Linked DNA regions of Caenorhabditis elegans. The protein of the gene in region 2 interacts with the protein of the main gene of each other region in a pairwise test. Each region holds a gene or a part of one and is shown on either strand. Other genes may lie near its edges. The genes, in order: lin-1 and set-6.

What was found.
Region 1: the proteins of set-6 (region 2) and lin-1 interact in a two-hybrid assay, tested with the Caenorhabditis elegans proteins (one study listed by BioGRID).

What each region holds. Positions count from the first base shown.
Region 1 is NC_003282.8:2,297,282-2,302,569, forward strand, and holds the start of lin-1 (ETS domain-containing protein), read right to left. Parts: upstream 3,006-5,288; coding exon 2,982-3,005; intron 2,937-2,981; coding exon 2,849-2,936; intron 1-2,848.
Region 2 is NC_003284.9:11,969,324-11,976,640, forward strand, and holds set-6 (Histone-lysine N-methyltransferase set-6), read right to left. Parts: upstream 5,357-7,317; 5' UTR 5,354-5,356; coding exon 5,267-5,353; intron 5,185-5,266; coding exon 5,041-5,184; intron 4,943-5,040; coding exon 4,847-4,942; intron 4,272-4,846; coding exon 4,170-4,271; intron 4,056-4,169; coding exon 3,951-4,055; intron 3,806-3,950; coding exon 3,498-3,805; intron 3,451-3,497; coding exon 3,198-3,450; intron 2,668-3,197; coding exon 2,536-2,667; intron 2,484-2,535; coding exon 1,932-2,483; intron 1,398-1,931; coding exon 1,278-1,397; intron 1,212-1,277; coding exon 984-1,211; 3' UTR 707-983; downstream 1-706.

The DNA.
Region 1 (5,288 bases), on a different chromosome or scaffold from region 2:
AGCACGGCAAATTTCAAAAAAGTAGATTTGCCGAATTTGCCGAATTTGCCGCACACGTCAAAAATTTGACAGTACAATTTTGACTAAAACTATTGATTTTTTAGCCAAAAATTTAGTAAAATGATACAAAATTGAGCTATTTTGATGCTTAAACAGACATACTACGCGGAACTTATTCAGAAACCAGATGTGTGTTAAGAATTCAGTAGTTTTGGTGCTCCAAAAAACATAAAAAAAATATCAAATTTTTCCGAGTTTGTTAAGCACGGCGAATTTGCCGAATTTGCCGAATTTGCCGAATTTGCCGAATTTGCCGTGCTCGGCAAATATTGAAAAAAGAGATTTGCCGAATTTACCGAGCTCGGCAAATTTTGAGATTTGCCGCACACCCCTGGTGGAAGCCCTAGGAGAGGCTACAGCAGTTATTCCAAAATTCTCAAGGTGGGTTCAAAAATTTCCTAAATTTTTCTCATGTCCTCAAAAAAAAGCAAATACACTACTAAAACTGAATCATGCACTACCAGATGCCTATCAGTCGCACCTTTTGATGACCTTCCCCCCTGGTTATCTCCAAAATGATGATCTCACAAAAATCCGTGAAGACGCAATAATATTTATGTTCCACCCTTCCACATCTTTCCGATATAACCTATCATTAGTACGGTTTTCTTGTTGGATAAAGAGGTTTCAGGGGCTGACAAAATATTTAATATGAATTGAGTAGAGGGGTTTTTCATATGATACTACCCTAAAAACATTCCGGATGACTGATCTTTTTAGGACCCCCACTTCACCCCATTCAAGCACCTCTTCTTTGTCGGCCATATATTCCGATCCGTCAATTTTGGTCGCAGATGACTTTAATCCGCAACTTCAGCTGCTCCGAAAGAGCACAACAACAATAACAACAGATAAGGAAGACAAGAGACCCGTAAATAGTGAAGAACAGATGCTAGTTGGGATGGTTTTAGGGGTAACAGTAAAGCATATATATCAAGAAAATTCAAAGGTATAGAAGAATATCAAAATGAGTGATTTTCACCCATTTGAAGATACTTTCAGAAAAATTGCAAAGCACGTAAAAATGCATTAAATTATTGGAGGACACTATTACAGACTCTGTGGCATAGTAAAGACAAAAGGTTGTATTTTATTCCAGCCATGTGTTTAATGTAACGTTTTGCAAATGGATATAAAAACAATAGTTCCAGTTATGAACCTTTAAAGCTCTAAACATTGTCATGTGGTTTGATTTAACTTGACTCTTCAACAAGAAGTATCTAAATATATAAACGTATCAAACACACACCCTCCCCTCCGACTTATTAATTGACACCATATGTCGTATGTATATATATACAAAAGTGATTGGGTGTGAAAATGCGGTAGAAATCAAACAAAAATGGGGGACCTGCGGTACTGTGAGGCGGAAATATGTATAGAGGGAGTTGGATTTATACCGAAAATTTCGTCTTGACAATTATTTTAGAATTGAATTTTATCGTGTTATTTTTTTTGAAAATTCTGCTCAAAGTTTTAAAAAATACCCTATGTTTTGGCAAAATTTAAGTCATTTTTCTCACAAATTTCTTGAAAATTCTACTCAAAAACTTGAGAAAAAAGAAACACCATACTAAATCATCAAATCATCATTAAAACCAAATACGGATTAGCTGCTCTACCCAAAGCGACACACATTCATCAATTCTTATCGGATTTTACCCGCAAAAACCAAAACTAAATTCAGAAAAAAAGAGAAAAAAGTGGCAGGGAGAGGAATCAGTAGTTGAGCATCAACCGACAGGTGGAAGAGCATGGTCGTTACGGTTTATTCAGCCGTCTGGCAGGAAGAACAAATTGGTTTGAAACTTGTTCTACTAGACTAGTTAGTAAAATATTTTGAGAATGTGCCAATAGCTCCACTTGCCACTATAGTAGAAAAGTATCATATTGTTCGAACATCCTTTCAACTTTACCAGTTGTCATTGTCATTGTCATTGTCATTGACTCGGTTGTCATTGGTTTTATCAGAAAATTGTCAACTGACAAAATGTTTGTCACATATTTTTTTAAAGTTTTCTAGTTTACTATATTTTGATATTTTTAAAATCAACTGAAATTAGAGCTTCTAAAGTGAGGAGGATTTAACATGGTGCATCAGCTCATATCTTGGTTGTCTTTTGATTTTATTTGAAATTGTCAACTAACAAAACATTTTTCAAATATTTTGCTATAATTTTTTCATTTTAAAATTACTAGCATTAAAATAAATAGAGATATAGGCTGTCCAACAAATTAACCTCAAATGAACCCACTTTGGCAGCTTATGCAACTTTATCAGTTGATATCTTGATTGACATTGGTTTTATCAGAAAATTGTCAACTAAAAAATTGTTTTTCACATATTTTTCTATAGTTTTGTATTTTACTATATGTTGATATTTTAAAAATGAACCGAAATATGTGCTCCTAAAGTGTAGAGGTTCAAACATGGTGCATAACTTTGTCACCACTTTCCTTGGCTATCTTTGGTTCTATCAAAAAACTTTTAACTAACAAAACAAATTTCATATGTTGTTCTATAACTTTGTAGTTACATATTTTTTCGTATCTTAAACATTAACCGAAATATAAACTGCCAAAGTTGCCCAATCAATGCACCATGTCCCCTAATTTTTCATTTCACATTTCGACTGTTCAAATCACAATAAGCAAATTGCCGAAAAATGTGAAATTTTTCATTCAAAATAAAAATCACTATCAGCAATTTTGAGCCAAACTTCATTGAGCACATTTGCTTTTAGTAGCAAGTGTGTTTTGCTCCAAATACTATAAAAAATAAACTAACTTCTTATATCCAAAATTCCCTCAATCGTATGTTTCGGAGATTCTTCTTCCTCGGCTTCTTCCGAACTCGACGGCGGCTCTTTTTTGACCTGCAAAAGAATACTATTTAGGAGTCATGAAGTCAGTGGACAAACCTTCAAAAGGTCAATGTGATTCATTTTCGTGTAAACTGTAGAGTGTCGGCGCTTTCTTTTGACCTGGAAAATGGTACGGGGTGGCGGCGGCTGATGAAAGATGACGTGGCAATGAGTGACGAGCTGGCTACTATTTTCAGTGACTCTATAGATAACAAGGGACGGGAGGGGGGCTGTAAAATGCGGAAATTTACAACACTTTTTGCTCACTTATTGTTGAATTGAATCTACATTATAAAAACACGATAATTTTAAGATATGAGCAAAACTTGCTGTCACTTTACGATCTCATGCCTACCTTATGCCTACTCTAGGCACCAGGCAGGCATAAAGGCCTACTGTACAATTCATAAAAAAAGAATGAAGTATGTGGAAAGTGGGACAATTATTAATATCTTCAAATTTTAATGCGTTGTGACACAAGACACAAGGGAAAAGTTTTAGTTTCAAAGGCCTAATTCCCTTGGCTAATACGATTTTAAACGGAAGAGGAGAGGTTTAATGTTAGAATAATTTAAAAGTTGAGGGAAATGGTTTAGTCTTAGATTTTTTTTAAAAGTAAAATCATATATTGGAAATCACAAAAGTTGGTCTGCTCAAAAGTTGTTTAAGTGTAATGAAGAATTTTTTTTTAGCTATTTGATAATTATTTTATAATACCTGCAATGTTTTTGTATGTCTTCTTACTTCAAAATAGCTCAAAATTGTCTGAAATTGCCCAAAAAACTCTTTGAAAACCCGCCAAACAACGTAGGAAACCGAAACTTGCTCGAGACTTAACTTTGAAAACTTGGTTGTTTTTGTCAACTGACAAAATATTGTACAATTATGCAATTAACATTATTAATCAATTTAAAACAAACCAAATTTTTTTCCACTTGCCAATATATAACTATTTTGGAAAATTAGAAAATCATCATATTAAACGAACATGGTGCATCGAAAAAAAACTTCAACTTTACCAGTTTATATTTCGGTTGTCATTGGTTTTATCAGAAAATTGTCAACTGACAAAATGTTTGTCACATATTTTTTTATAGTTTTCTAGTTTACTATATTTTGATATTTTTAAAATCAACTGAAATTAGAGCTTCTAAAGTGAGGAGGATTTAACTGCATAACTTTGACAGCTCATATCTTGGTTGTCTTTTGATTTTATTTGAAATTGACAACTAACAAAACATTTTTCAAATATTTTTCTATAATTTTCTCATTTTAAAATTACTAGCATTAAAATAAATAGAGATATAGGCTGTCCAAGAAGGAACGACATGGTGCATCAATTGAACCTCAAATGAACCCACTTTGGCAGCCTATGCAACTTTATCAGTTGACATCTTGATTGACATTGGTTTTATCAGAAAATTGCCAACTAAAAAATTGTTTTTCACATACCGTATATCTTCTATTAATATGGCCTCCCTATTAGACTTGCACTCCCTATTAGTATTGCCCCTCGGAGACCTTCCGAAAATTAGTATGGCACTCCCTATTAGTCTTGCACTCCCTAATAGCCTTGCGTTTACTCTTTTTTATTGCAGGCCCGTCTTGTTAACTTCAGGATTTCAACAAAAAAATTTGCCTATTTTGCAACAGTTTTTCACAACATTTCTACGAGATTGAAGTTTTTGAACTTATTATATATGTTACAATTAAAAGCAAATTTTCTGAATTTTTACATAAGATTCGAGCTTTTTCAGAAAAAAACTAGTAAGCTCAAAGTCAGAAAAATGTTCTGAAAATTAGTATTGCACTCCCTAATAGTCTTGCACTCCCTATTAGTATTGCAAGCGGGAAGACCATCGAAAAATAGTATTGCAGCCATATTAATAGAAGAAATACGGTATTTTTCTATAGTTTTCTAGTTTACTATACGTTGATATCTTTAAAATCGATCGAAATATGGTCTTCTAAAGTGTAGAGGATCAAACATGGTGCATCGAATTCACACGCTCAACTTTGCCAGCTCATACCACGGTTATCTTTTGATTTTATTTGAAACTGTCATTTTAACAAAACATTTTTCAGCCATTTTTCTATATTGTTCTAATGTCAAACTTACTAACATTCTAAAAATGATTAGAGATATAGGCTGTCAAAGAAGGAAAGTCGTGGCAGTGCGTCGAATGAACCCACTCTTGCTCTACTTTAGCAGCCTATACCTCGGATGTCTTTAATTTTATTTTAATAAAATTTTAATAAAATATTGGCAACTGACAAAATATTTGTTAACACATTTTCTATAATTTCTGTGCAAATGCATAGAAATATTTCAAATGAACTGGGATACAAAATGACAAAGAAGAA
Region 2 (7,317 bases):
CAAAAATAGTATTACAAGTAAGGAATGAGAATAATCTCACTATTTTCACAAATCTATACAAAGAGGCAAACTGATTTCAAAACTTTGCTTTTGTTCATTTCGACTGACTCTCTGCTTGAAAAGAGTCAGCGGAGTTTTCAAATACTTAAATATCTTTAAAGACACCTCGCAATCCAGAATGATCATCAACAGGTGAGATTATCAGTATTAAATGATAAATTCACGTTTTTTCTTCTTACTATTGTTCATGATTAGAACAAAACATCGAATATTTAAAATCCTTTGATTTTAATTTGAAAAATGCAAATAATAAATTTACTCTTTATTTCAGAGCGAGAATCCGAACTTTATGAATGCATTCACTTTGTTTCTTAATCTATCACGTCTAAAATAACTCGATGGCTACGTGACAAATGCAATATTTTCTTCTTTCAATTTTAACACAGACATAGTTCACTTTCCCATCGATAAGATCATATTATGCTCTCTGTTACACCTGAAGACTCATGTTTTTTTGCTTTTCTGTACAAAATGTTAACCGTTTGGATGAATAAACCGGCAACGACAAAAATGCTCAGGTGAGGAAATTTGAAACATGACATTTTAGCCAAACGTACAGTCTGGCGCTTCACTATTGCCTGGCGCTTCACTATTGCCACTTATTATTGTAATACTGTCTCCAAACGTTTACAAGCTTTAGAATTCACACAATTTCATTCAAAACTTTTTTCTATTCGATGTATTATATAAATGCACATTAAATAAATTCATAATGACTATAAATACATCAACATAACTAAATAATATTTGTCACACATCTGGTTTGCTCTATTCGTAGTGCACTATTTTAAAACTGTATATGTAAAACTGTATTAACTGATAATATTAAATTCCAAAGTTCAGCAATGAAGTGCATGCTTAATAGAGCAAATTTGATACAATTATTACATAAATATTAAAATTTAGATCATATTTTATGGCAGTTATGAATCTTCGTCGGACAGTTCAATTTCAATAACGTTTTCCAAACGTTCACAAGTCGCTGTAGACAATTGTCGCCTCCATTTCAGGTTATATTTTGAAAAAGATACACATGGATCAACCCGAACCTCCTCAACTTTTCCAACAGAATAAAATCTTTCTATTAGCTGTAAGTCCACCGAATATCGAATGCGGGATGCGTGATGAAGTCTAACAAAACATGATGCAATCTGCAAACAATCCAATTCATATATGCAAATTTGGTGATACTTCATGTGTGTACACCATTGACTAACCAATTTCCCATCCAAATTTGAAAACTTCTCATAATGCGGCCCACTTCTACAGGCAAATGTTCTACAAAGACATCTTTGCCTTCGAAACACCTTGTATTCTGAGCCATAATCCAGAGTAAGCTGAAATTAGTAATTTAAATGGTTATGTATATAACATTTTCAGACAAATGGACTTCATAATTTGCAATGAAAAATTAAAAACTATGAAAAACACAAATTTTTAGGATTACCGTATTTTCCTTCTGAGTAATGCGTCCCTATTAGACTTGCTCTCTAAGTGGTGTATCGAAAAAATAAAATGTTCTTCAGAAATATTTTAAAAGTATATTTTTTAGTTGTTCGTTGATTTTTCAATATTTATCCAGTTGATTCTCAAGAAATAATGTGTAATGGGAGTAATTTAAGGTGATTTTTTGTCTTTCAAATCACATACAAAACTGTACAAGTCTTACTGATCAAAAAATATGATATGCAACCTCTATTAGACTCTCGATTGGACAAATTGGAAATGAGATTTGCATGCAAAATGTACCATATATTCTGAACTTTTTCAGTTTAATGTAACTAAAATGTTGTACCCGGAACAGAATTGACACTTTTTCAGGCAGGCCCATCTATGGCTGCTTTATTTTAAAAATATAAAAATTTCCTTACAGGTTCTCCTGGAAAAATGTCCTTCAGAGTGAAAAAAATCATTCGCATATTGGCGGGTGTAAATCCTTCTTTGAAAAGTCGAAGAGGTTCCATATTCGGAGTACATGAATGATTTGCAAATCTGCCAACACTTCCTTGCATTTTGGCGTCCAAGTGAAAATGATGCTTGCTCAATTCGTCCAGTACATCATAGTATTCTGGATTGTTTTTGTACTTTTCACGAAGCAGGTTGTAAAGGTGTTTGTCTCCTTCACAGTCAGTTAACTGGTAACTATAATTTTCCAATGAACTATGCAGCCGTTCTCCATCAACTAGTTCTCCGCAGTATTCAATAATTGGAGTCCCTGCTGGAATGAACAGAGTAGATCGAATTCCAAATCCAATTTGAGGATCTGCACGATAAATTTCAATAGAGTACAGTTTCTTTTGAATCAAGTACGTTGCATTATTAGTGCAAGCTCCTTTACAAGCACATTTTGGTGAACATGCAAACCCAACAGTATTGTAGTAAGTCGGATTTCCATCGTTGTACATAAGGGGTTGAAAAGTATGCTGAAAATAGACAATTTGCAAAATAATTATTAAAACTGAGAAATATACTTACAAATTTCAACTTTTCATTTGTATCCGTTGTTTTGTTTCTAGATTGCAAAAACTGATTTGCAATAAAACACGGGCAATCTTTGTTATCAAAACAGTTGACGACTGGATCTTGGGAACAACATTTACAACGAATCTGAATAAAAAAGCTGATATACTTTTACTAAATGAAATATTGCATTGTCATTTACTTTTATTTTTAAATCATATATAATTCCTTCTCTTAGAGTGTTTTTTAATATTCTAACAGTTTCAACCCCTTACAATTTTGAATTAAAAATATTTTAAACATAATTCAAACATAAAACTACTACTAGAAACTGGAAGAAAAACATTTTTTTTAAACATAAAGTTGATGAAAACTCAGTTTTTACCGTTTTATTCTCGGATTTTGAAAAAAATCAAAACGTTTTCCAAATTAAGTTCAAAATTTTACAATTGTGATATTTGATGATTTTAGAGCCATAAAAATGGTTTTTACTTGTTCTCCAACTTGACGTTCTCTACTACTACTTATTCTACACGTTTTTTCTTAGGTCGCTCATCACAACTGTTCAAGAATGTTTTTCTATTGCCAAAGCCTGTCGTTGCAAAAACTATCGAATTACAATTTTAATTTTTCAACTTGCCAGTTGTTTTATAAATTCGAATCGAAAAACATCATACCACATTTTCTGACGATCCTGCAATTTTGATTGCTTCATATAGCAACGGCTCTTTAACTTTGTCCACCATATTGTTGATAATGTGATCATAAAGAAGGGGGTTTGGAATTTTGACTGTTTTTAGTGTTTCGCCTTTTGCATCTGTGTAAACTGGAATTCTGTGGGTATCATTTGACAAGTGAATATCATCCGTAATACGAATCCGTGTTCTAGGCGCCACATATATCAACTTTTCAAAGTAACGGTCGAGCTCTCTGAAATTAAGCTTTATAACATATAAGTCTACATAAAAATTCCTCACTCAGGTATTTCTTCTTCCCCATGATCACGTTCAGGTTCTTCATAGAAATTACGGCCAAAGGTGGCCAGACATCGAACAGCCATAAACAGAGCTCTCGTGCTTTGCTCGGCTCCCATGAATCTTCGGTAATATCCATTCAACGTTGGGTCTAGCTCTATAATGTCGTCGAACCTAACAGCTTCTTCGTGCATTAGACGGATGTCGTTGTGTTTCTTTATTACTTTCATTTCTTTTTTCCAGTGTTCTCTTCTTTCATTCAAGCTCATGTCGGAGTACTCAAAAATAGATGGGTGACGAAAGTCCGCAATCTGAAAATACAATTTTCAGCTAGAACATTGTCAATAAGTAGATAATTTTGAATGATACAGTTGAGCACTGTTTTTCAGTTATTGTAAATACAACAGTTTTATTCAATTCGGTTTTCAAATTTTTAAAATCTGTAAATATGATTACCCTCGCTGGGTTGACGTTTCGTAGTTCTGCACATATAGTACTGTGATGAGGAGCAAACGAAGATATTGTGCTGTATGTTTTCCTTTTATGACGTTTTGTTTTTGTCTGAAAAAAAAACATTTTGTTGCACAAGGAGGGGTCTCTCTAAATCTCTCTGTAAATGTTCTTAGCGAATTTGAACTAACGGAATTCGGTGGCAATAAAATATGTAAAACCCACTTGGCGTGCTGGAAATGTACATGATGTGGATGCTTCCATTGAGCTCGATGAGGTCCTACTCTTTTTTCGAGACTTAACTTCCAGTTTTCTTTCTTTCGAATGCTGGAATTAGTATTATTGTGAAAATTATGTTTTTTTTGTAGCAATTGTTTGATATACAAACAAATTCTCATCACGTACGATTAAAATATGAACATATCAGGGAGTCAAACAGTTCAAGAACAATTTTGATAATGGCCAATGGATGAAAACCGTATTTTTTCTGTATTTTCACATTCAAAACTTTTTTTAAAAATTTCTAGTTTCTAGCATGAAAAGTGAACATTGTCATTAAACAAATACAATTTGAAAGTAGTTTTTAGTTATAGAAGTGAGCAATCCAGTTAATCTGCATTCCAGGCCGTTGTCACTTCTGAGTAATTTGCTCTAGTGACTATTCACGTTCGAATCATTTTTCCAGAGTTCAATAAATTTGGAGCTGAAAGTCGCCAGACTGCTTCAATGAGCATTTGACGTTATACTTATTTAAAAATTAGTAGCAAGCTGCACATTTCAATTTCATACTTTTTTTCAGTACTGTGCAGAGAATACATTTTTTGTTAAAATTAGGCTAGTAGATATTACCGTTGAAATTGTTATATTTGAAGAATCTCGTTTCAAAAATAAAAACAACCTACTAATCTATGAAAAGATTCAACTGATCTTCTACGCTTTTCCGTCAAATTATTTGAAATCGCTCGATCAACAACTTCCTGCTGGTTTCTTTCCGTAGCCTGTAAAATGACTGTGATTAGGCGGAACTATAAATTTGCAACTATTCAGAATATATATCTTTTTGTTTGTTGAGAAGTCAAAAACATTGAAAACTTACTTCAGATTCATCATCACTAATTGTAATTATAATAGACCGTTCAACAGAGCTATTTGATGTGCTAGATAGGGAGTGATTTCTTTCATCTGAATAACTATTTGATGAGATGGGGCTTTTCCGTGGTTCTTCCCAAATGGTCAGTTCCTGAAGATAAGTTATCGTGAAAATGAAATCTAGGAAACGTTTCTATTTCAAACAAACTTCCATCTACAAAAATGGCACTTACATCGTCGTCGTCACTTATTGTTATTATTGGAACATTTGCTGTTGACATTGAATATGTTGATGAACCTCCAGTTCGAGATCGTTCCATTTTCTATAAGCAGTAAACTAATTAAAGTTGTGGAAAATGAATTTCATGTCGATGAATAAAAAATTACGATTATTACTATAGTACAAAGAAAAAATAAGATTCAATTATTGAAAACTTTCGAAAAAAAGAACTAACAATATGACAAGTTAACTCGCGTTTTGAAAAAATCAATAATCTTGTCCAGTGAAAAAGCGGAACAAATAGAGAGCAGACGTACTAACAGACGCAGATACTAAAGCAGTTTGAGAGAGAAGAGAGACTGGAATTGGGGAAGAGAGATTTAGAGAGTGCATTCTAACCAGTTCAATTGACTGACAAATGTGAGAGGAGCGAAGACAATATTAAAATCTTCAATTGTATTCGTATGAGCAGTATCAAAATTTAGAAAAAAAAGCCTATTAGTAAAATGTTATGTCTTTAAAAGAATGAAGGCACAAAAGACAAACGATATAGCTAAATACGATACGATATAGCTGAATACGATACGATATAGCTGAATAATTTTAGAATATACCAACAATATTCCAGTAGGTACAAGAAGCTTCACGTAGTTACAGAAATAGTACATTTTCAGCCCTACCTTTTAGAGCGTATTTTATTATTTAATAAAAACTACCATTAATAGGCAAAAATAGATGAATTTTTGTAATTTTGAAAATTCATAAATCTCTTCAAAGTAACTTTTTTTGAAATGTCTTTCAGAAACTTTGTAGTAAATTTTAAGCTCTTTCAGAATATATTAACAATATTTCAGTAGTTACAAGAAGCTTCACGTAGTTACAGAAATAGTACATTTTCAGCCCTACCTTTTAGAGCGTATTTTATTATTTAATAAAAATTCATCTATTTTTGCCTATAAATGGTAGTTTTCATTAACTAATAAAATACGCACTAAAAGGTAAAGCTGAAAATGTACTATTTCTGTAACTACGTGAAGCTTCTTGTACCTACTGGAATATTGTTGGTATATTCTAAAAGAGCTTAAAATTTACTACAAAGTTTCTAAAAGACATTTCGAAAAAAGTTACTTTGAAGAGATTTATGAATTTTCAAAGTTTGGAAAATCCATCTATTTTTGCCTATTAATGGTAGTTTTCATTAACTAATAAAATACGCACTAAAAGGTAAAGCTGAAAATGTACTATTTCTGTAACTACGTGAAGCTTCTTGTACCTACTGGAATATTGTTAATATATTCTGAAAGAGCTTAAAATTTACTACAAAGTTTCTGAAAGACATTTCAAAAAAAGTTACTTTGAAGAGATTTATGAATTTTGAAAATTACGAAAATTCATCTATTTTTGCCTCTAAATGGTAGTTTTCATTAAATAATAAAATACGCATTATAAGGTAGGGCTGAAAATGTACTATTTCTGTAACTACGTGAAGCTTCTTGTACCTACTGAAATATTGTTAATATATTCTGAAAGAGCTTAAAATTTACTACAAAGTTTCTGAAAGACATTTCGAAAAAAGTTACTTTGAAGAGATTTATGAATTTTCAAAGTTACGAAAATCCATATATTTTTGCCTATTAATGGTAGTTTTTATTAAATAATAAAATACGCATTATAAGGTAGGGCTGAAAATGTACTATTTCTGTAACTACGTGAAGCTTCTTGTACCTACTGAAATATTGTTAATATATTCTGAAAGAGCTTAAAATTTACTACAGAGTTTTTGAAAGACATTTTGAAAAAAGTTACTTTGAAGAGATTTATGAATTTTCAAAGTTTGGAAAATTCATCTATTTTTGCCTATAAATGGTAGTTTTAATTAAATAATAAAATACGCATTATAAGGTAGGGCTGAAAATGTACTATTTCTGTAACTACGTGAAGCTTCTTGTACCTACTGAAATATTGTTAATATATTCTGAAAGAGCTTAAAATTTACTACAAAGTTTCTGAAAGACATTTCGAAAAAAGTTACTTTGAAGAGATTTATGAATTTTCAAAATTACG